3 linked regions of the Ovis aries genome follow. The protein of the gene in region 3 binds, or shares a complex with, the protein of the main gene of each other region. Links are inferred from orthologs where the notes say so. Each region holds a gene or a part of one and is shown on either strand. Other genes may lie near its edges.

Region 1 (7,452 bases), on a different chromosome or scaffold from region 3:
GCACATCACCAGCGTCGCGGCCAACGGCGAGCACCTGAACCGGGAGTGCAGCCTCTTCACGGACGACTGCCGCTGCGTCATCGTGGGCTCCGCCGCCTACCTGCCGGACGAGCCGCACCCCCCCTTCTACGAGGTGTATCGCAACAGCGAGTCCGTGACCCCCAACCCCCGGTCCCCCCTGGAGGACTACTCCCTCCACATCGTTGACCTCCACACCGGCCGCCTGTGTGACACGCGCACCTTCAAGTGTGACAAGGTGGTCCTGTCGCACAACCAGGGGCTGTACCTGTATAAGAACATCCTGGCCATCCTGTCGGTGCAGCAGCAGACCATCCACGTCTTCCAGGTGACCCCCGAGGGCACCTTCATCGACGTGAGGACCATCGGCCGCTTCTGCTACGAGGACGACCTGCTCACCGTGTCGGCCATGTTCCCCGAGGTGCAGCGGGACAGCCAGACAGGCATGGCCAACCCGTTCAGGGACCCCTTCATCAACTCCCTGAAACACCGGCTGCTGGTGTACCTGTGGCGCCGGGCAGAGCAGGACGGAAGCGCCGTGGCCAAGAGGCGCTTCTTTCAGTATTTTGACCAGCTGCGGCAGCTGCGCATGTGGAAGATGCAGCTTCTGGATGAGAACCACCTGTTCATCAAGTACACCAGCGAGGACGTGGTGACTCTGCGGGTCACAGACCCGTCGCAGGTAGGAGCTGCCGCCCCGCCTGTCGCCCTCCCGCCACCTCGCGGGAGGCTTCTTCTGCCTGTTCCCAGCCTCTCGGAAGCAACACCTTTTATGTGGATCTTGAATTTTTGCTCCCCTAGGGCCGAACTTAGAACAGCTCCACTTATCTCTGGCCATATGTATTTGTTTGGACAAATGGAAGCTAAATCTCAAGCCATTGACATATAGGTAGTCAACCCTGTGAATATTGTCCTATTTCTCTTTTTTTTAATATATATATTTTTGCAACTTTACTCTTTTGGGGGCTGCGCTGGGTCTTTGCTGCAGCAAGCAGGGCCATCCTGCTTGCCCTGCAGCATGTGGGATCTTCATTCCCTGACCAAGGACCAAATCTATGTCCCTTGCATTGGAAGGCAGTTTCTTAACCACTGGATCACCAGGGAGGTTCCCTACCCTAATTCTTCTGTAGAGCATTTTCAGTACCCTGGAGATGGAAGCCCAGATGCTCTAAGGTTAAGATTTGACTCCCTGTGGATAGTGCCTTGGTTTTGTGGAAGATTGTACTTATTGGTCTGTTTTAGTTCTGGCAATGAGAATGAACCCATCATACAAAAAAGGAAAATCTTCCAAAAGTCTAGTCTTTTTTCTTGTTTAAATGATGTCAGTATACTTTCTCACAATATCTTTAGATTGTAACTAGTCTTTTTCTTACTGAAATGAACTCAGTATACTTCCTCACAAAATCTTTAGATTGTAACCAATGGGACAGTTCATTTAATAGAGTTAAGCTCTATGACTTTACTCTGACCTTGCCCACATGCTGGAACATAGACTGTGGAGCAGTGATAAGATGGGAAGGAAGTAAAAGTTTTTGATCTACCAGTGAATCACCAGGACTGCAGGTTCTGAGGGTTTTTTAGTTTGGGTGAAAGATGTTGATGGGGAAGACGCATTTCACAAATAGGAATAAGGTGTTGGGTTAAGAGTATAGAAACCGTGAAGATGGTTGGGTTGAAACACCATGCTGAACCTCAGGGTGATGTGGACATTTACCTTTGAGGAGCTGTCTACTTTATTGTTGACCAAGAGAGACCTAACTTCTTTACAGTTCAGTTCAGTTACTCAGTCATGTCTGACTCTTTGCAACCCCGTGGACTGCAGCATGCCAGACTTCCCTGTCCATCACTAACTCCCGGAGCTTGCTCAAACTCATGTCCATCAAGTTGGTGGTGCCATCCAACCATCTCACCCTCTGTCGACACTTTCTCCTCTTGCCTTCAATCTTTCCCAGCAACAGGGTCTTTTCCAATGAGTCAGTTTTTCACATCAGGTGGCCAGAGTATTGAAGCTTCAGCGTCAGTCCTTCCAGTGAATACTCAGGACTGATTTCATTTAGGATTGACTGGTTTGATCTCCTTGCAGTCCAAGGGACTTTCAAGAGCCTTCTCCAGCACCACAGTTCAAAAGCATCAGTTTTTCAGTGATCAGTTTTCTTTATGGTCCAACTCTCACAACCATACATGACTACGGGAAAAACCATAGCTTTGACTAAATGGACCTTTGTCAGTGAAGTCATGTCTCTGTTTTTTAATATGCTGTCTAAGTTTGTCATAGCTTTTCTTCCAAAGATCAAGTATCTTTTAATTTCATGGCTGCAGTCACCATCTGCAGTGATTTTGGAGCCCAATAAAATAAAGTCTCTCAGTGTTTCCACTGTTTGCCATGAAGTGATGGGACTGGATGCCATGATCTTCGTTTTCTGAAGTTTGAGTTTTAAGCCAGCTTTTTCACTCTCCTCTTTCACTTTCATCAAGAGGCTCTTTGCTTTCTGCCTTAAGGGTGATGTCATCTACATATCTGAGGTTATTGATTTTTCTCCCTGCAATCTTGATTCAAACTTGTGCTTCGTCCAGTCTGGCATTTCACATGTTGTACTCTGCGTATAAGAGCAAGGTGGCAATATACAGCCTTTACGTATTCCTTTCCCAGTTTGGAACCAACACCCCACCCCCCATCATTCTCCTATTTCCACATTGTCTCCTTATATACGAGTTTGGAAGTGTACAACAGAACAAACCAGTAAACTGCCGTCAGCTGAGTCTGGTTTCTCTCATTGACTTGTAGCTGATTCTGCCCTTAAGAGAAACTACAGAAAATTTTCTCCTGAGACCTTACCAACCATCAGTGGAAAAATGGTTTCTAATATTTTTCTTCTGAATCATACCTTGTGTATTCTAAAAAAAAAAACAACAAAAACAAGGGTAGGGGAGGGGAGGTGACTAAAATGGTGGTGGTTTAGTTACTAAGTCATGTCCCACTCTTTGCAACCCTATGGACTGTAGCCTGCCAGGCTCCTTTGTCCATGGGATTTCCCAGGCAAGAATACCAGAGTGAGTTGTTATTTTCTTCTCCAAGAGATCTTCCTGGCCCAGTGATCCAACCTGCATATCCTCCATTGGAAAGCAGATTCTTTCCAGTGACATCAGGGAAGCCCATTGAGATCTGAGTAATAAATTCGTTAGAGATTTTTTTTTTCTGAATTTTTTTACTTCCTTATTAATGATGAAGTCACCATTGAGGGTGAGCGTCCAGTTCATCTCAGGCGTCATGAGAGGGTGTTGGTAGAGCCTTTGACTTCTGTACCCTTCTGTCGTGTATTTCCCAGTGTGCCCTGGTGGGAATGTTAGTAAATATTTGTGTAATTCTGTGTTCACACAGTCACGATGGATCCTGGTGAAGCCCTCATGTGATCCAAGTGTCGTCCAGGTTTATAGAAATGACATGAGTCCATCTTGTATTTAGGTTTGAGCTATAATTACCTTTTTGTTTTGGAGGGAGTATATTGTCTGTGACTGCCGCATTCGAGATTATCCTTTTCTCCTTCACTAAAACGTGACCTCCTTATGTCCGGTAGCTACAGTAAGTCATAGCCAGCAACATTGCTAGGGCTCTGTGCTTTGCTTACAGAATTTGTAACTTTAAACCCAAACTCTCCCCTCGTTTTCCTCCAGTCTCCTTCCCCAGTTTAATTTGATAGGTTCCAATAAGGTTAATGAGTAAAAAGTGTACCTCAACACAAAGCCTTGCTAATATTATGGGTATTATTCTCAGATTACCCTCCAGCCTCTTTAATTTACAGCTAAATTTAATTTCCAGGTGACCGCAAAAGTCATGTAATATAAGCTCTGGGAAGGACTAATTACTGGTGAAACAGGTGGGCCAGATGTCTCCAAAAATTGGTAATGAAGATTCAGGTTTAATCCTAGGAGGCAGAATACTAATCCTAGCGTTCTGGAAACTTCTAGAGTCCTGGTGGAAGACCCACACTGCCACATTCACTGTGACAAAAACTTGGGGTACCTCGTGCTTCCGTGTTAAGCTGAGCAGAACACTGGAGGTTCAGAGAAGAGGAGCAGGCACCTAGGGACCCATTCAGAGAAAGCAGTAACTCTGCCACCCAGAGCATCTGAATGCTTTTCATGTTTCCCCCTCTGATCTGTATTGCTACAAATGTCCAACATGTGTTACAAACGCTCTTGGCTAAAAGAACATTTATGAAGAAAGAAATGAAAACGCTTCTCTGACTTTTTCATTTGTCCAGCAGCAGTCCCCCGCTTGGTTACAACTTGCCCAGGTGGACATGGTGTGCTTAAGACGTCTCTCTGCATGTTAGAAATACTAAGAAAGAAAAGGAAGTGCCCCCAAATTGAACTTTCTGCTATACACATACAAGAGAAAATAATTTGCCAACAGGCAGCTCCTGACTGCAAATCACTTTCTCAGCAGGAAGGAAAATTAAATCTGGCATTTTAGAAAAGTGTTTTTAATCTCAGAATGGGTTGGGGCATAAGTAGGGAATAAGCACTTGAAAGGAAACATATTAAATTTGCACACAGTTTGAAATGAAAGATTGAAAGCCCTTTTATACATATATGCTGAACAACTCAGTAATTCCAGCAGCACAGGTACAGTGGGGAATCAGGCAGCTCTGAGGCCCTTGATGGCTCAATCCCACTGAGGCTTCCTCCTCTTCCAGAACCTCTAGGCATCATGTTGCTGCTGTAGTGCCAGAGTGGAGGTGTTTGCTTGTTTTACTTGGGGAGTTTGAGTTTTCAGCCGAATGGTGAATATGCTAGGTAAGGTCTTATGCTCAGCTGTCCCTTGGGTCTCTCTCTCCTTCTGCAGGCATCTTTCTTTGTGGTGTACAACATGGTAACAACAGAGGTGATTGCTGTGTTTGAGAACACGTCAGATGAGCTTTTGGAGCTCTTTGAGAACTTCTGTGATCTCTTCCGGAATGCTACCCTGCATAGTGAAGTCCAGTTTCCCTGCTCAGCTTCCAGCAACAATTTTGCACGGCAGATCCAGCGCCGGTAAGCTGCTCCCCTGGACTTAACAAGCTTAATTTTTCTCTAGAAAATGTGTTGGTGTGGAGCCAGTAGTTGTTTACTTCGGGAAACCTTCCCATGTTCTTTCTGCCCACCCGGCCTTGGGTCGGTCTGCCTGTTGTAACCTCCTGTGTCATCCTAAATGTCTCTCTCTTAGCACCCGAGCGATTACTTGTGTGTTGTCTGCGATTCCTCCTAGACTGTCTGTTACCTGCAGAGAGATAGAGACTGTGTCTTTGTTTAGTTTATTGCTGTATCTGCAGTGATTCACTGTCAAGCACTTAAAATAATTTTTGAATGAATCAGTGCAGTTGGGTTCAGTCGTTCAATTGTGTCCGACTCTTTGCAACCCCATGGACTGCAGCGGCCCTGTCCATCACCAACTTTGAATGAATAAGGAAGTAATTTTATAACTTTTGGTTAAACATGTGCATTGAACACATGCATTTATCTCTGCTGTATCCCAAGACCCTACTTAAAGTGACAGTAAAGGATGAAGAGATGTAAACCTACAAGAGCAAAGAGAGTGAGGAGGAGATATCAATAGAGTTTTAGAAGCTGAAGAGCCAGTGGATGGCTGATAACTAACTTGACATACCTCAAAGAACAAAAGAAGACTACAGAGCTTGCCCATCAAGAAGTAAACTGTCTTGCACCAGAGAACTCTGGAAAAAGTCAAGAAACTGGAGGTCCTGTATACCTCTGGAGGATTGGATGACATTCTTTTTTATTTTTGCTGTGCTTTGAAGCTTGTGGCATCTTAGTTCCCTGACCAGGGATCAAACCTGTGTCCCCTGTGGTAGAAGCGTAGAGTTTTAACCACTGGACTGCCAGGGAATCCCCTAGATGACATTCTTAAAGGGAATAGTCAGATACTCTAGTTCCTTTCCTTAAGCCTCCAACTGCCAAATGACTGTCTCTTCCTCAGGTCAGCAAAAGGCTAGAGGTTTATTCTCTGGAGAAATCGAACCATGCAGGCTCTGGTTTCAAGTTCATGAAACATGGCTGAGAATAGAAATGAGACTCATCATGCTTAAACCAAGAATTAAGTGAAAATTGATATACTGATGGGGTAGACTCCTATTCCTCTTATCAGATATGGTATCCAGGCATATACTCTTCAGGCAGGAGATTAGAGTTAATTCCCTAGGGAAACTGACCAACCTGAAGAAGAGACCATTGGAGGCCCTTCTCAGAACACCTAAGTCACCCTCAGTTGATACCCACCTGCTAAGAACCAGAGCTTCTCATAATCATCTGAGTATATTATTGTGAAATGACTAGTTGTTTTGGACCAAAGGCCTGGCTGCAACCCTGCTGAAGTCAGTCAGTGTTTCATCAAGTTCCACATACCTTGCCAGTTATAGAAAATAGCTGCTTTAGGTTCCAGTACAGATCAGATCAGAATGGATGAATCAGAGTAAGCATTACTGCTGCAGGGGGAAATGGGCAAAGCGGCTATCTCATTCACTGGCATCGTATTCCTGTAGAAGGACAGTACACGATTGAAAATAAGTGGATATTGATTTTCGGACGAGTAAACATGCCCTTTTATTTTTTCTGGTTCACACACATTTTCAGCCTGACTGGCATCTCTCTTCAGTATAGAAGGATTTTTGGAAGCAAAATATGGATCAGGTTTTGCTTTTTTCATTTTGAAATGAATTTTTGTCATTTAAAATTAAGTAGATTATTATCAACTGGTAGCAAAAGCTGGGTACAGTTAAAATATCACAGAGATCACCAGAAGGTCCAAGCTCCACGAGGGCAGGGGTGTTTATCTGTTATATATATACATCGCCATACCCACAGCACCTCGGCCAGTGTCTGCCGTTAGGGAGGAGCTCATTAGGCATTTGTTGAATGAATATCGTCAGGAATTAGAGGAGGCTGTGTTTTCTGAAAATTTATTTCACAGTGTACCCATAATTAAGTGAAATTGTAGGAAGAGAAAATAAACATTCTCGCTTCATGATCTTCAAAATTTTGCTTCTTACCAGCAAATGGTTCTGAAAACTGTAGATCTCACACATTAATGTTTAAGTTGCTCTTTAAATTTCTTACTATTAAATTTAAATAGTGGCAGAGGATGCAGTTTTCAGCATATTAAACACTGACATTTAAAAATAAAAGTATTACAAGATATAATTGGCATATAACTTTGTATAAGTTTAAGGTATTAAGACTTTTAAATATAGCCAGGGGACTCTAATACCATAGTAATTTAGTATTCATAGTTGACATAAAAAGCTCAGGGTAAGTTTTTCCTGTACTGTTTGAACTTTTCTATTTCTTCTTATTTTCAAATTTACCCATCTTCCCCACAAAATTGTGCCCTAATAACATTTTATCAATCATCTTATCATACTTTGCTGCATTGAAAAT
Region 2 (7,452 bases), on a different chromosome or scaffold from region 3:
TAATTGGGGCTAAACATTCTTTATCATCAGAATCATTTGCAGATGTCCATTGACTGTTATCTGATTTGAAATGAGATTTTACATATTTCGTTGCTGAAAATGTCTTCACACATACAAGTACGCTATCTAATCAATATACAAGCGTATGATTTTAATTGTAAATTTGCCCAACTTGATATATTTTTGCTCTACGCATATTTTTTTTTAACCACCATTTCAGTTGTAACACATCTTCACAGATTCCACCTCAGGTTGTTCTGAATTAGTGTTTCTCAGCTTCTTTGAAAATGTTATCACCTGTAGTTAGTTGTTCCATGCAAACTATTCAGAGACTACTTCTTTAGTTACTTCAAACTCCTCAAATAACTTGACTCTTTGAATAAGTAACTGAATAGTATCGGTTATATTTGTCAACTCGTCAAGAACCAAAGGGGACTACTCATTTGCTTCCTTGTTTTTCACTTGATGATTGATATATCCCAGTATCGTCACTTGTTGAGCAACTGTTCTCATTAAAAGGCTAATAATCTTAAACCAGTTTATTTTCTGTGGACTATTTGTTTAGCTTCTGCAGTCAAACACAAATTTAGCTAACATATCATTGATAAATGTCTTTCCTTGCTTAGCCAACAAATGAGCCACCTAGAAACTTAACTCTGGTTGAAGCTTCATTTTTTATTTTTGTGAGGAAATATTTTGTGATATTTGTTTTAAATTTTCTAATTTTTCAGACCATAGATTTCCTGTGAATTGAAAATACTATGATGAGTGCTTAGTCTAATAATATTAATGTATATTTTATTATTTTAGCACAGGTACAGTTTCAGTGTCATTGTATTATAAATAAAATACTTGCCATCTGCTCTAATAAAATAATCCATGTCCACTGTGCCTTTAGAGATGGTACTCAGTGTTCATCAAGTTTTACTGGAATACAGCTGTACACGTTCATTTACATATTGTCTGTGGGCTGCTTTCTTCCTATAATGGCAGAGTTGAGTAGTTGTGACAGACTATGTGGCACTGTCACTGCTTTGCACTGGTGGTCTGTGCACTGCAAGTCACAGTGATGGAATTATAACTTGACAGCATTTCAAGTGCCATGCTTACACTGTAACATTTTTCTAAATTACCAGTGCACACTCATAGTATTAAATGGAGAAAGTGGGCTTGACCATTAGCATTTTTAGAACTTCTATTCTACATGTCATATCTCTGTGAGAGGCAGTAGAGCATAGAGAAACCTGAATTCAGATTGTCCGGATTCAGCTTCTGGCCCTGTTACTTGTTAGTTGTGTAACCCTGATTAAGTTATATAACCCCTCTATACTTTAGTTTCTTCATCTGTAAAAAAAAGGAATAACAACAACAACAACAGTGTTTGTGCACAGTGTCATTGTGAGGACGAAAAAACAAAAGCAATTACAGTGCCAAGAATTCAGTAAGCTGCTTGGGTCTAACCTTGTTGAATAGACACCGTTCAATTCTTGCTACGCTGCTGAATTCTTACCTGTATTTCTCTAACCAAACTTTTCTCTGGACAAGTAGCTAAGAATTTATTTATTTGATCTCATACAATTTTCACACATCACAAAATATTCTCTTAGAAAAACATTTAAAAGTATAATAACCATCTCAAGGAGAAAAAATAGTCACCAGGGCTAAGTTTGGTCTATGGGCCATAGTTTGCCAATCCCTGACCTAGTCTTTTCCTAGTATAACAGTGCTTTTCAGTGTTTGTATTAGGAAGTTTCCATTCGAATATATGAGGTCTTAAAATTCATGTCTCAACCTGAATTCTGGATTTTCACACAATTAAAACTGTTATGTAGAAGATATACTGACTTTTGTTTTCAAGAGTGATCTCCTTTCTCCTTTTAGATAATTTTCCACTTGTTCATCAAGATGGAAAGCTCAGATTGTAACGATAAAGGAAGTGGTGATCAGTCTGCAGCACAGCGCAGAAGTCAGATGGACCGATTGGATCGGGAAGAAGCTTTCTATCAATTTGTAAATAACCTCAGTGAAGAAGATTATAGGCTTATGAGGGATAACAATTTGCTAGGCACCCCAGGTATGCAATGTGTAGTTTAAAGATTTATATAGATATATAAATTGCTGGTCTTTAAAAAAACAGCTGTTTTTTAAAAAAATGTTTTGTTTACCATTGTGAAGTATGATTTTAATACCAGGGATATAGAATGAAATTTACTGCTGTACTTATTACTTGATATTATTCACTCATATTTGGAATTATCCTTTGTCAGGATTTTTAGTGAGGAATTATATTATGAATTTATAGTAAGCTGAATTGAAAAGAGTGGAGCTGAACAATCTTTTTGTTATTTATCTTTATTTAACTCTACTAGACAGTGGTCTGGAAGAGCTAATGGGAACTTTGGTTCTTAGGACCTTGGGTAAAATAGTCAGTTATTCAGAAATTTGTGCTTGGTTATTCTTTTTTGTCTCATTAGGTCCGATTTGATTCTAGTTAAAATTCATTATATCACTTCCTCCTCATTTCTATTTAATTCTATTAACATTTGAGTGATTGCTTAAATTTTAAAAGGTAAGGTGTTAGCGTGGTTATTATGAGATGGAGTGTATTTTGAGCCAGGAGTACCAGACTTGAGTCAGAATGCCAGAGTTGGCATTCTTGCCCTACTATATATTAACGAATCAGCTCACTCACTCTGAGTTTCTTTGTCTTAAAATGCAGATAATATCTATCTCCCAGAGTTGCATTTTTGAAGAATGAGATATTGTATGCAAAAGCATATTGTAAACTGGAAAGGAATACAAATAAATAAAAGTTGTAATGTCATGCTCTCAAATAGGTGAATTTTACTCAGGTTCCTACTCTTTGGTTGTCATCTCCGATGGATAAGTCATTGGATTTTATTTATAATTTTGCAAATATTTTAAACTGTTCTCAGGTGAAAGTACTGAGGAAGAGTTGCTGAGGAGACTACAACAAATTAAAGAGGGCCCACCACCACAAAACTCAGATGAAAATAGAGGTAAGTTTTTCTTGGGAGAGGGGTGTAAAGGATGAAATGGATAAGGAGCTTCCTATGATAAATGTCAGCCAAAGATAATCCAAATCAGTAGCACAAATTAATTTGGTGTTAAGTAACTGCTCATAAAAAGAACTGGCATTTTCTTGATATTTGGTGAGAATGTTAACTTTTTTTTTCCTGCTTCACCTGTGGGATTATTTTGAGTGTTAATTGGGATATAGGAATGTCCTGTCTTAAATGTGATCATTTTTCTTTATTTTCCACCTTCATTGAAATTTCCCTGTACCCACTGAATTAGTCCTTCCTTATAAACCTGACTTCCTCACCAGCAGAAAGGTTGCAGTCTCTAATCTGATGGTTCTCAGTTGGGTATAATGTCTGGAGACATTTTTGGTTGGGAGTTTGCTGTTTGCTCTAGTGGGTGGAGGTAAGGGATGCTGCTGCTGCTGCTGCTAAGTCACTTCAGTCGTGTCCGACTCTGTGTGACCCCATAGATGGCAGCCCACCAGGCTCCCCTGTCCCTGGGATTCTCCAGGCAAGAACATTGGAGTGGGTTGCCATTTCCTTCTCCAATGCATGAAAGTGAAAAGTGAAAGTGAAGTCGCTCAGTCGTGTCCGACTCTTTGCAACCCCATGGACTGCAGCCTGCCAGGCTCCTCTGTCCATGGGATGGAGTGGGATGCCATCGCCTTCTCCGAGGGATGCTGCTAAACATCCTAAAATGCACAGCACAGCCCCCACAACAAAGAATTATTTGGTTCAAAATGTAAATAGTCACACTGTTAAGAAATCTTGTTCTTACTCAGGTCTGGTGTTTCTCCTTCAGGGTGAAATATGACAAGAATTAGGTTGTTGAATGTGCTGTATATGTACTATGCTAGGTTCAGACTCTTTACTTGTTCTGATCTCTAATTTCATGTTAATTTAAAATCTTGGTAACATGAAGAAGTAATCTTGTTTATATTTTTGCAATGTCTAAAGCAGTCCTATAGTTTTTAAATGTCTTGTATTATCCAAGGCACTTAAGAGCCCAAAGAAATGTTGTAGGCTAATAAAAATCTAACCAAGAAACTGCAATTTGAACTAAAATACTAGCCCTGTACCGCAACTGGTGTTTTACCTTATTTGATTATGTTAGTGTTTTGACAGTGGACTGAAAAAAATGTCTTCTGACAGTCCCCAGTGGTACACTAGGCTCTGTATACAATGCTAAAAATAGACTTCCTCCCAATTCCCTTTTTAAAAAAATGATTTAAATTTCTCTAGGATTCGCTTGCTGTTTTAAAATGGAATTGAAAGTTTCCTGCTTTTACTTGCCAATCAGTGCAGTATAGTTTAAAAAAATCTGTAAATTGAAATTTGTTCAGAATGTTTTTCTGTTAATAATATGAAGTTTCAGAGTATAATTTCTTATTTTTAATAGTTCCTTTTCTCCCCTCCCTGTTTAAAAAACAGGTGGAGACTCTTCAGATGATGTATCTAATGGTGACTCTATAATAGACTGGCTTAACTCAGTCAGACAAACTGGAAATACGACAAGAAGTGGGCAAAGAGGAAACCAATCTTGGAGAGCAGTGAGTCGGACTAATCCAAACAGTGGTGATTTCAGATTCAGTTTAGAGATCAATGTTAACCGTAATAATGGGAGCCAAAATCCAGAGAATGAAAATGAACCATCTACAAGACGTTCTAGTGGAGAAAGTATGGACAACAACAGCCAAAGACAAATGGAAAATCCACGATCTGAATCAACATCTGCAAGGCCACCCAGATCAGAACGAAGTTCAACTGAAGCATTAACAGAAGCCCCACCTACCAGAGGTCAGAGAAGGGCAAGAAGTAGGAGCCCAGACCATCGGAGAACCCGAGCAAGAGCTGAAAGAAGTAGATCACCTCTACATCCAATGAGTGAAATTCCACGAAGATCTCATCATAGTATCTCATCTCAGACTTTTGAGCATCCTTTGGTAAATGAGACTGAAGGAAGTTCTAGAACCCGGCACCACGTGACATTAAGACAGCAAATAAGTGGACCTGACTTACTAACTAGAGGTCTTTTTGCAGCTTCTGGAACAAGAAATGCCTCACAAGGAGCAGGATCTTCAGACACAACTGGCAATGGTGAATCTACAGGATCAGGCCAGAGACCTCCAACCATAGTCCTTGATCTTCAAGTAAGAAGAGTTCGTCCTGGAGAATATCGGCAGAGAGATAGCATAGCTAGCAGAACTCGGTCAAGGTCTCAGACGCCAAACAACACCGTCACTTATGAAAGTGAACGAGGAGGTTTTAGGCGTACGTTTTCACGTTCTGAGCGAGCAGGTGTGAGAACCTATGTCAGTACCATCAGAATTCCAATTCGTAGAATCTTAAATACTGGTTTAAGTGAGACTACATCTGTTGCAATTCAGACCATGTTAAGGCAGATAATGACTGGTTTTGGCGAGTTAAGCTACTTTATGTACAGTGATAGTGATTCAGAGCCTAGTGGCTCAGTCTCGAGTCGAAATATGGAAAGGTCAGAGTCACGGAATGGAAGAGGGGGTTCTGGTGGTAGTAGCAGTTCTGGTTCAAGTTCCAGTTCGAGTCCTAGTTCCAGTTCCAATGGTGAAAGTTCAGAGACTAGCTCAGAGGTATTTGAAGGCAGTAATGAAGGAAGCTCATCATCAGGCTCATCAGGTGCCAGGCGAGAGGGTCGACACAGGGCCCCAGTAACATTTGATGAAAGTGGCTCTCTGCCCTTCCTTAGTCTCGCTCAGTTTTTCCTCTTAAATGAGGATGATGATGACCAACCTAGAGGACTCACCAAAGAACAGATTGACAACTTGGCAATGAGAAGTTTTGGTGAAAATGATGCATTAAAAACCTGTAGTGTTTGCATTACAGAATACACAGAAGGCAACAAACTTCGTAAACTACCTTGTTCCCATGAGTACCATGTCCACTGCATCGATCGCTGGTTATCTGAGAATTCTACTTGTCCTATTTGTCGTAGAGCAGTCTTAGCTTCTGGTAACAGAGAAAGTGTTGTGTGATTAAGGTCTGAACTCTCAGCTACGTAGCTGGTATAGTGATGGGCAAACAGGAATCACTTGCTTTCTGTCCACTTTTTGAGTGGTGCTTAAATGTAAAGTAGCAACCAGAATTGAGTCATTGCTTTCTGAATGAGTCATTGTCCTTTCTCTAATTTCTGTTCCAAAATAAAAGGAAATATTTAAAAGCAACATGTTAGGACATAAAAATCTGACTTCAGTATCAGTAATTGTTATTACTGATGATTTATCATATACTTGTCAGTTTCTCCTTTGTTATCTTAAAAGGTCTGCCTTAGCAATGACTCTTACCTGTTTCATATTGATCTTTAAAGTTTCATATGCCATAGGAAAGAGGGGTGAAGGAAATTCCCAGTTTAGACTCAGTTACAGTACATGTTGCCTAAGTGACTGCTTAAAGCTATACCATTCCCAGTTATTAGTTGGCACACATTCAGCTACATTCTGAATATCATTTGTTCACCTTTCAGACAAGGTGATATTGGACTTATCAGTGTAAATAACACTAAGATTAGGATCTTCTAAGTGTATAACTGTCTTCTAAGCCCATCACTGTGGCACACTGTAGAGTGAGCTTATAGTTTAATTGAGATATTTATCTTGTGGAAATATTAAAAAAAAGGCCTATGCTTGTGTAAGTGAAAAAATCACATTCATTTGTTTAAAAATGTAAAGCTATTTTGTAGAGGCTCAGTACTTTTTCCAATGCACTGTTGTATTAATGCATTAAAAATTGTAAAGTACCATGCTTAGAAATGAAAAAAACTGCTTTTTGTGAGCCAACATAGTAAAAAAAAAAAAAAACAAACACACACACACACACACATACACCAAACAAAGTACAAAGCTGCTTTTGTAAGTGTGTAGATGTAAGAGCAGAACATATCTATAATATTTAATGTATGTGAACAGCTACTGTGACCTGCAAAGGAAAGGACAGTATGGATTTAGGCAGGAAATGAAAGAGGGAGTATAGAGAAAAGCGCTTGGAAGAACTTAAACTTTTCATGAAGACAGTAATTCCACAGATGTGAACTGGTTGCATATGGTGAGATCCTTGGCACAGTATTCTACTTGAGCAGATGAAGCAAATTTGGCAGTTTTGGTTTAAGAAAAACAAACCACTACCCCCTAGCACAAGTTACATTGAGGTTTTTGCAAGTTTGCTTCTCAAAAAAAAGAAAAGAATGGAGGAAAGAGACTGTAAACCACTTATTTAGCATAAGAATTGAAGTTGGCACAGATGTGTATACTAGTAGGAAAGTCTCAAATTTGCATTGTTTTTGGTATTTGTTATTCAAGGTACCAGTGCACACTTGTTACTATCTCTAATACAGACCTAATATCTCATATCTAAAGACAAGATGAACTAAGGGAGT
Region 3 (7,452 bases):
GATGCATGCTTTTCTGGCGTTGTCTCATCGGTCACCATACGAAACTATCCCCCGATTGCCGGCTGTATTTCCCACGCTGTGCGTTTCCTCCCTGTGGCTCATGTATTGTGCCGCTGCAGGTTTGTCCCGCTTAAGCCCCGCCCCCTCTCTACCCTCCCTCCCGTTTGGCGACCGCCTGTCTGTTCTCTGTGTGTGAGCCGGTCCTGTTTCCGTGCACGTGTTCTTTGGCTTTGTTTCCGAGATGCCGCATGTCGGTGAGGTCCTGTGGCGTTTGTCTTTCTGCGTCCGACCTGTTTCCTTGCGCGTCGTGCCCGCGAGGTCATCTGTGCTGCCCCGAACAGCGAGATTGCCATTTTTATGGCTCAGTAATATTATATATGTATATATATATACACACACATATATATATACACACACATATATATACATATATATACACACATATATACACACACACACACACATATATATACATATATATACACACATATATATACACACACACATATACACACATTCCACATCTGTATTTGATACATTTATTTTTATATGATATATGATAGTATTATATATGTGCTGTGTACTAAGTCACTTCAGTCATGTCTGACTCTTTGTGATCCCATGGACTATACCCTGCCAGGCTCCTCTGTCCATGGAATTCTCCAGGCAAGAATATTGGAGTGGGTTACCATGCCTTCTTCCAGGAGATCTTCCTGACCTAGGGATCGAACCCACGTCTCTTAGGTCTCATTCGTTGCGGGCAGGTTCTTTACTGCTAGTGCCACCTGGGAAGCCCCATATATTATCATTTATATATATGCACATCTTCTGGGTATGTATCCAAAGAAATGAAAACAGTAGAAGAATATGCATCCCAGTGTTCACTGCAGCATTGCTTACAGTGGCCAACATATGTGTATATATATGTCATAGATGAAGTGAAGTGAAATGTTAGTTGCTCAGTCGTGTCTGACTCTTTGTGACCCCATGGACTGTAGCCCACCAGGCTTCTCTGTCCATGGAATTCTCCAGGCAGGAATACTGGAGTGGAGAGCCATTCCTTTCTCCAGGGGATTTTCCCAACCCAGGGACCAAACCTGGGTCTCCCACAGTGCAGGCAGATTCTTTACAGCCTGAGCCGCCAGGGAAACGCATGTCATAGATATAGTGCAATGCTTATATATGTGGAGAAGGCAATGGCACCCCACTCCAGTACTCTTGCTTGGAAAATCCCATTGATGGAGGAGCCTGGTGGGCTACAGTCCATGGGGTCGCTAGGAGTCAGACACGACTGAGCGACTTCACTTTCACTTTTCACTTTCATGCATTGGAGAAGGAAATGGCAGCCCACTCCAGTGTTCTTGCCTGGAGAATCCCAGAGACGGGGGAGCCTGGTGGGCTGCCGTCTGTCAGGCCGCACAGAGTCGGACATGACTGAAGCGACTTAGCAGCAGATGTATACATATCTCACAGACACAGCGCAGTGAATATACATACGTGTCATAGACGTGATGCATATACATACGTGTCAGACATGTACATACATATGTGTCATAGGCGTGATGCACACATACATGTCATAGACGTGATGCGAATACATGCGTGTCATAGACGTGATGCATATACATGCGTGTCATAGACGTGGTGCATATACATACGTGTCAGACATGCACGTACATACATGTCATAGACGTGATGTGCATACATGCGTGTCATAGACGTGATGCATATACATGTGTGTGTGTTGTAGACGTAATGCATATGCATATATAAACCACGACGCCACGTGTTCCTCATCCATTCGTCTCCTGACGGGCACTCAGGTCGCTTTTGTGCCCTGGCCGCCGTCAGCGACGCCGCAGTGAACGCTGGGACGCATATTCTTTCCGCATCACTGTCTGCGTGTCTGCTCGCCGGATTGCACGGCCACTCTACCTTCAGTTTCCTGAGGACTCTCCACACTTTTCCACAGCGGCGGCACCAGTTCACATTCCCGCCAGGAGTGCAGGAGGCTCCCTTTCTCTCTTCACATCCCTGTCAGCACCTGTTGGTTGCTGTCTTTCTGATGACTGCCGCTGTGACGGGCCTGAGACGATACCCATTGTGGTTTTGATTTGCATTCTGTGATCAGTGATGTTGAGCGGCTTTTCCTGAGCTTGTTGGCCATGGGATGTCTTCTTTGGAGAAATGTCTGTTTAGGTCCCTTGCCCACTTCTTAATAGGTTGTATGTTTTTTTATGTTGAGATGTATGAATTCTTCGTGTTCTCTGGATATTGTCCCCTTAATGAATTTGTTATTTGCAAATACCTTCTCCCATTCAGTAGGCTGCCATTTCATTTCAGAGATAGTTTCCTTCTCTTGCAAAAGCTAGTTTGACGTAGAGCGACTTCACTTTCGCTTTTCACTTTCATGCGCTGGAGGAGGCAATGGCAACCCACTCCAGCGTTCTTGCCTGGAGAATCCCAGGGACGGGGGAGCCTGGTGGGCTGCCGTCTCTGGGGTCGCACAGAGTCGGACACGACGGGAGCGACGCAGCAGCAGCAGCCCTATTTGTTCATTTTCGCTTTTGTTCCCCTAGCCTGAGAGACATCCCCAAAATGTTGCTGAGACAGACGTCAAAGAGTGTACTGCGTTTGTTTTCTTCTCGGATTTTTATGGGCTTGGGGCTTACATTTAGCTCTTAATCCCTTGTGAGTGTAATGGTGTATATAGTGTGAGAAAGTCTGGTCTGATTCTTGCGTGTCGGTGTCCAGTTTTTCCAGCGCCATTTATTGAGGAGGCTGTCTGCTCCCTGGTGTATTGATGTATTCTCATCCATAGTCATAGATAATGACGCATGCTGTTTTGGTCTCCTGCCCAACAATGAAGTTGTTGTAGATACGAAACTAATTTCACAGTATGAAAGAAGACAAATCTTTGTGGGCAATAAAATCTTCCCAAGCACCGTAACAGGACTGCCCGCTTTGCTGCAGGGTGTGAGGGGATTTCTGGCTGGTGTGCTGTGAGGTTGGTGTGGCAGGAAGAACGCTGGAGGGCTTAACTATGATCTCGCTTTGCCTTCTGTTACTCTGGGAGAACGGGGACAGTTCAGTTGGCTCGTGTGGGTCTTCTTTTCGCCCGTGAGTTTCTCTGCAGCGGGGGAGCACAGGTTTGCCGCTAGTAGCCGCGTGGCTTCCCTCGCTTGGCTGTTACTCCAGCAGCAGCGTCTGCCGACTCTGATTTACTGAGTACCAAGAACAAGGCAGAACCTGGTCCTCAGAGGACTTCCAGAGAGGGGCGGGAAAGCAGGCAGTTTCAAAGCACAGGTCTAAACAAAATGCTGCACCCTGTCTTCTACAGCCCCCCTGGTGGGACGGGGCGCTGGGCACATTAGCAGGGACTCTCGGTGGAGTGAGAAAAGAAGATGCAGATGTGATACTTGGGCTGAGCCTTGTGAATGATGACCATTTCCTGGTCTCCATCAACCTCCCTGCTGCTTTTAGTTTACAAAAGCATTAGACTATTTTTTTTCTTTTGCATTCCTTCTAGCTTTGAAAATTTGTCTCTTTGACCTTATGCCACCCTTTCAGAGTCTCAGAAATAATTGTATGCTTGATTAAACATTTTGCTCCAGTAAAAATTAATTTAAAAATTTTGCTTCTGGTCTGTGGTCCTTGGAATCTTTTGTTTCATAGGTTTAAGCTTATGAATAGCAAAACGGAACTTCTTGGTTCTGTATAATTTAGTGATACCAGCATATTTCATTTATAGAATACTGTCGATATTGACACGTGAATCCTCATTTGGAATTAACCTATTAACTTTGGTGTGTTTTCTATGGAATGGCTGAATTTGTTATCATAAATAGATATTTTTACAATTCCAAGCTTTGTTATCATCTCTAAGCACATTTCATTTGTATGTCTTATTCCAGTGCTGGACCCAAAGGAGACAACATTTATGAATGGAGGTCAACTATATTGGGACCCCCAGGATCTGTCTATGAAGGAGGGGTGTTCTTTCTTGACATAACCTTTTCACCTGACTATCCGTTTAAACCCCCCAAGGTCAGTATGACGTCTTCATCCATTTTCAGCTATGTGTATTATCGCTTTTTTATATGTATATATATACCCACATTCTTCAGTACGCACACCTCGGGATGCATGTCTGTTCTGTTAGCATAGACAACTTCCCAGGACTGATTGTATGTAAATGGAAAAATTGTTGTTTATTCCCTCACCCCGACCTTTGACGCACACCTCATTGCTCCTTCTCATCCTTTCTCGTATTGCCGTTTTTGTGGTGTATGTTTTAAGGTGACGTCAGACAGCCTGTTAACGGATGGAAGTAGGAAACAGGATGGGCTGGCGCCAGCTCCGGGGCCAGGAGACCCAGGCGTGGCCTGGGCTGAGGGAGCTCCTCCAGGAGCCGGCCTGGGTGCCGCCTGTGAGCCCCGAGCCGTGGTGCCTACGCAGCTCAGCTGCCCCCAGGAGGTGCGCACGCATCAGACGAAGGTGTGTGCACCCACATTAGGCGAAGAGACTGAACGATCGTGTCAGGAAGATTCAGTAAAGGAGAATGTGTATTTGTCCATTGATAAAAATGATGGGCTGATGAAAAGTCGTACATAAACGGCTAAAGAAAGTCTGAGAGTCCAGCGTTGTCAGGACGTGGGTGATGAAATTCATTCAGGGTGCTATTATTTCCTTTAAGCATTCTTCACGTTACTTTCTGCTGCACGTGAGTCACACGTGTGACGACTCTGAGTCCATGCCCTTTCTGAAGAGGTTTTGTCTTAGGCCGGAGCACAGCTGGCCCACAGCATGGTGTTGGTTTCTGGCGTGCAGCAAGGCGATCCAGGTATCCACACACTTGTGTCTACGCGTTTGCAAGTTCTTGTCCCATACAGGTTAGCACAGAATAGTGAGCAGAGCTCCTTGTGCTCTGCAGGAGGTCCTTGCTGGTTATCTGTTCTAAGTATAGCAGGCATTCTCCACGTTGGAAATGCAAAGACCCAGAGAACGCTGCCTCTGTTGGCCACCAAGACGGAATTCTCATTTGACCCGGCTTCACTTCTGAACATTGTGGGTTGGAGTAAACACTTTAAAAAGCAAAGCTCGGCCTTGACCTTCCCCGTGATGTCCGGGGGTCCCCTCCCTGCCTCCCATGCCCCCTTCTATTTTTCTTCTCTTCCTTCCTTTCCACTGAGACTTGGCTGTTATTTTGGTGTCAAATCGAGAAGTAATGACTGTCATTTTACCAAATAGGAGAGCCACGCACAGAGAAACTAGCTAACTTGCCCAGCATATCCTACACTGTCAGGACTGAAGCCACACACAGGACATCTTATCCAGGATGCCAGAGCTGGCGGCCCCGGGCCCCCCAGGGCTGCGTTTGGTCAGTTGCAGTGATGAAGCCGCGGTACAGCTGACCTTTATTTCCTCTGAAGGGGTGGGGATCGGGCGGCCTTCTCTTCTTTGCACCAGCCCCCGAGTCGTCTGCGTACCTGTCGCTCTGCCGGGGACACGAGGGCCTGTCTCGGGCAGGCCCTTCAGTAACAGAGATGCCGACAGGCAGGAGAGCCAGGGGCTCGGATGAGGCAGTTGTGCTGCTCGGGAGCCTGATGGAGTCTGCTTTATGAAACATACATCTCAGAAAAAGCGTGGGCATTTCCAGCTTCTGCAGGACAGAAGTGTGTCGATTAAACAAAGCAAGGAGGGAAAGCGGGTAGGTCCGACAGTCCCATTTCTGAAAAGGTGTCTCTGATGGGCCCCGAGGATGGGCCAAAACCAACAGGATGGAATGGAAACAGCTCAGTGGGGGGCGTGTCATTGGAAATCAGAGCGAGTCCTGCTATGGGACAGGAAATGGAGACTTGCTCTGTTTCCATATAAATAATAATGTGTGGGCTTCTGAGTGAGCACAGTTCTGTGGGAACTGCAGGGTCCTGAGACCTTAAGCAGATACTCTCAGGAGCACAGTCTCTGGAACTCTGAGCCCGTCGTGCAGTGCCGTCAACGCCTCATCCACTTCCGAGCTCTTCGTCTTTAGGAGGGCACGCAGGAGTAAGCTGGGGAGGGAAAGAGCTGGCATGCTGCAGTGTCTCCACCGGCTCAAGCTCTGCAGTGGGCAGCTGCGGGCCAAGCCGCCCCTCCTCCAAACACCCTAGTAAGACTGGGATATTCCCTTTCACAGAGGAGAGAACTTATATGAGGCTTAGAGAGGGTTTCTAATAATAAGCAATCAGGAATCTATTGAACTTGGCCTCCGGGGACCATGTACTTTCCACTGAATTATACATAGTTACCCTGGAGATGTTTACTAGGAAAAGTAGGTCCTGGGAGGAATGTGATAGCTGTCCTTTGATGTCCATGGTGTGGGTTGGGTTAGACTGGCTTCTGGGTGACTGGATGGGACAAAAATAGAAGGGGCGGGCGTCAGTCACAGGGAGGCAGACTTCTATTCCCTGGGGGGAAGACCTGACCCATCGCGGGACAGCCTGCTTCTGAATAGCTCTACCTCTGAGAAGGGGCTTCCCTTTCCTGGGAGTGTTCAAAGCAAACAGCTGAACTGGAACCTGTCAAGAAGACTGCCAGAAAAAAATTAAATCCCTCTAGCGGATAAATCTGCTTAGACAATCCGTGATGACAAAGGAAAATCAAACTTTGGGTATTGAATCATCATTTAAGTGCACATGTAGTAGAAACCCGTAGGAAATTTTAAAAGAAATTGTCACCAGCTAACTTGTCAGTTTTAGAAGTCAGATTTTGTGGACAGAAGTATGACTTGAAGGGGGAAAGTTGGCGCGTGTCTTGAAAGCTTTTCACTGAGACAGACTTGCTGCTGCTGCTAAGTCGGTCAGTCGTATCCGACCCTGTGCGACCCCGTAGACGGCAGCCCACCAGGCTCCCCCGTCCCTGGGATTCTCCAGGCAAGAACCCTGGAGTGGCTGCTATTTCCTTCTCCAATGCATGAAAGTGGAAAGTAAAAGTGAAGTCGCTTCAGTCGTGTCTGACTCCTAGCGGCCCCATGGACTATAGCCCACCAGGCTCCCCTGTCCCTGGGATTCTCCAGGCAAGAACACTGGAGTGGGTTGCCATGTCCTTTTCCAATGCATGGAAGTGAAAAGTGAAAGTGCAGTCGCTCAGTCGTGTCTGACTCTTCGAGACCCCATAGATGGCAGCCCACCAGGCTCCCCCTTCCCTGGGATTCTCCAGGCAAGAACCCTGGAGTGGCTGCCGCTTCCTTCTCCTGACTTACTAATAACTTGGAAGTACCCTGCCCGTCCTTCCAAGTCTCTTGGTGCTCTCAACAGCCCATATCTGGGGTTAAGTCTTGTTTTAGGTGGCGCTAGTGGTAAAGAACCCGCCTGCCAATGCAGGAGATGTAAGAGACAAGGGTTCGATCCCTGGGTCAGGCAGATCCCCTGAAGGAGGGCTTGGCAACCCTTCTTGCCTGCAGAATCCCAC

Evidence for each region. Proteins that work in one complex are often made in the same cells at the same time.
Region 1: the proteins of UBE2E2 (region 3) and DET1 are in contact, whole or in part, in a cryo-EM structure (PDB 9BJZ), measured with the Homo sapiens proteins. The link is inferred for Ovis aries from reciprocal best matches to the Homo sapiens genes UBE2E2 and DET1. Residues at the interface, in NP_001357154.1 of Homo sapiens: Ala77, Gly78, Pro79, Lys80, Gly81, Arg88, Ser89, Thr90, Gly101, Val103, Phe105, Phe123, Arg124, Thr125, Arg126, Ser134, Gln135, Gly136, Gln194, Trp195, Arg198, Tyr199, Ala200, Thr201; in NP_001137546.1 of Homo sapiens: Arg258, Phe259, Tyr261, Asp264, Thr267, Val268, Phe272, Glu274, Asp289, Pro290, Phe291, Ile292, His297, Arg298, Leu300, Val301, Trp304, Arg305, Phe319, Phe320, Gln321, Phe323, Asp324, Arg327.
Region 2: the proteins of UBE2E2 (region 3) and RLIM are in contact, whole or in part, in a crystal structure (PDB 6W9A), measured with the Homo sapiens proteins. The link is inferred for Ovis aries from reciprocal best matches to the Homo sapiens genes UBE2E2 and RLIM. Residues at the interface, in NP_001357154.1 of Homo sapiens: Lys52, Thr55, Lys58, Arg59, Lys62, Pro112, Asp113, Pro115, Phe116, Ile142, Asn146, Trp147, Ser148, Pro149, Ala150, Leu151, Thr152; in NP_057204.2 of Homo sapiens: Ser571, Val572, Cys573, Ile574, Thr575, Cys596, Arg599, Trp600, Pro608, Ile609, Arg611.

Annotation. Positions count from the first base shown.
Region 1 is NC_056071.1:18,916,480-18,923,931, reverse strand, and holds part of DET1 (DET1 homolog), read left to right. Parts: coding exon 1-700; intron 701-4,864; coding exon 4,865-5,052; intron 5,053-7,452. UniProt on the Homo sapiens protein: Component of the E3 ubiquitin ligase DCX DET1-COP1 complex, which is required for ubiquitination and subsequent degradation of target proteins. The complex is involved in JUN ubiquitination and degradation.
Region 2 is NC_056080.1:66,760,504-66,767,955, reverse strand, and holds part of RLIM (E3 ubiquitin-protein ligase RLIM), read left to right. Parts: intron 1-1,881; 5' UTR 1,882-1,905; coding exon 1,906-2,074; intron 2,075-2,936; coding exon 2,937-3,020; intron 3,021-4,475; coding exon 4,476-6,055; 3' UTR 6,056-7,452. UniProt on the Homo sapiens protein: E3 ubiquitin-protein ligase.
Region 3 is NC_056079.1:41,734,032-41,741,483, reverse strand, and holds part of UBE2E2 (ubiquitin-conjugating enzyme E2 E2), read left to right. Parts: intron 1-3,914; coding exon 3,915-4,047; intron 4,048-7,452.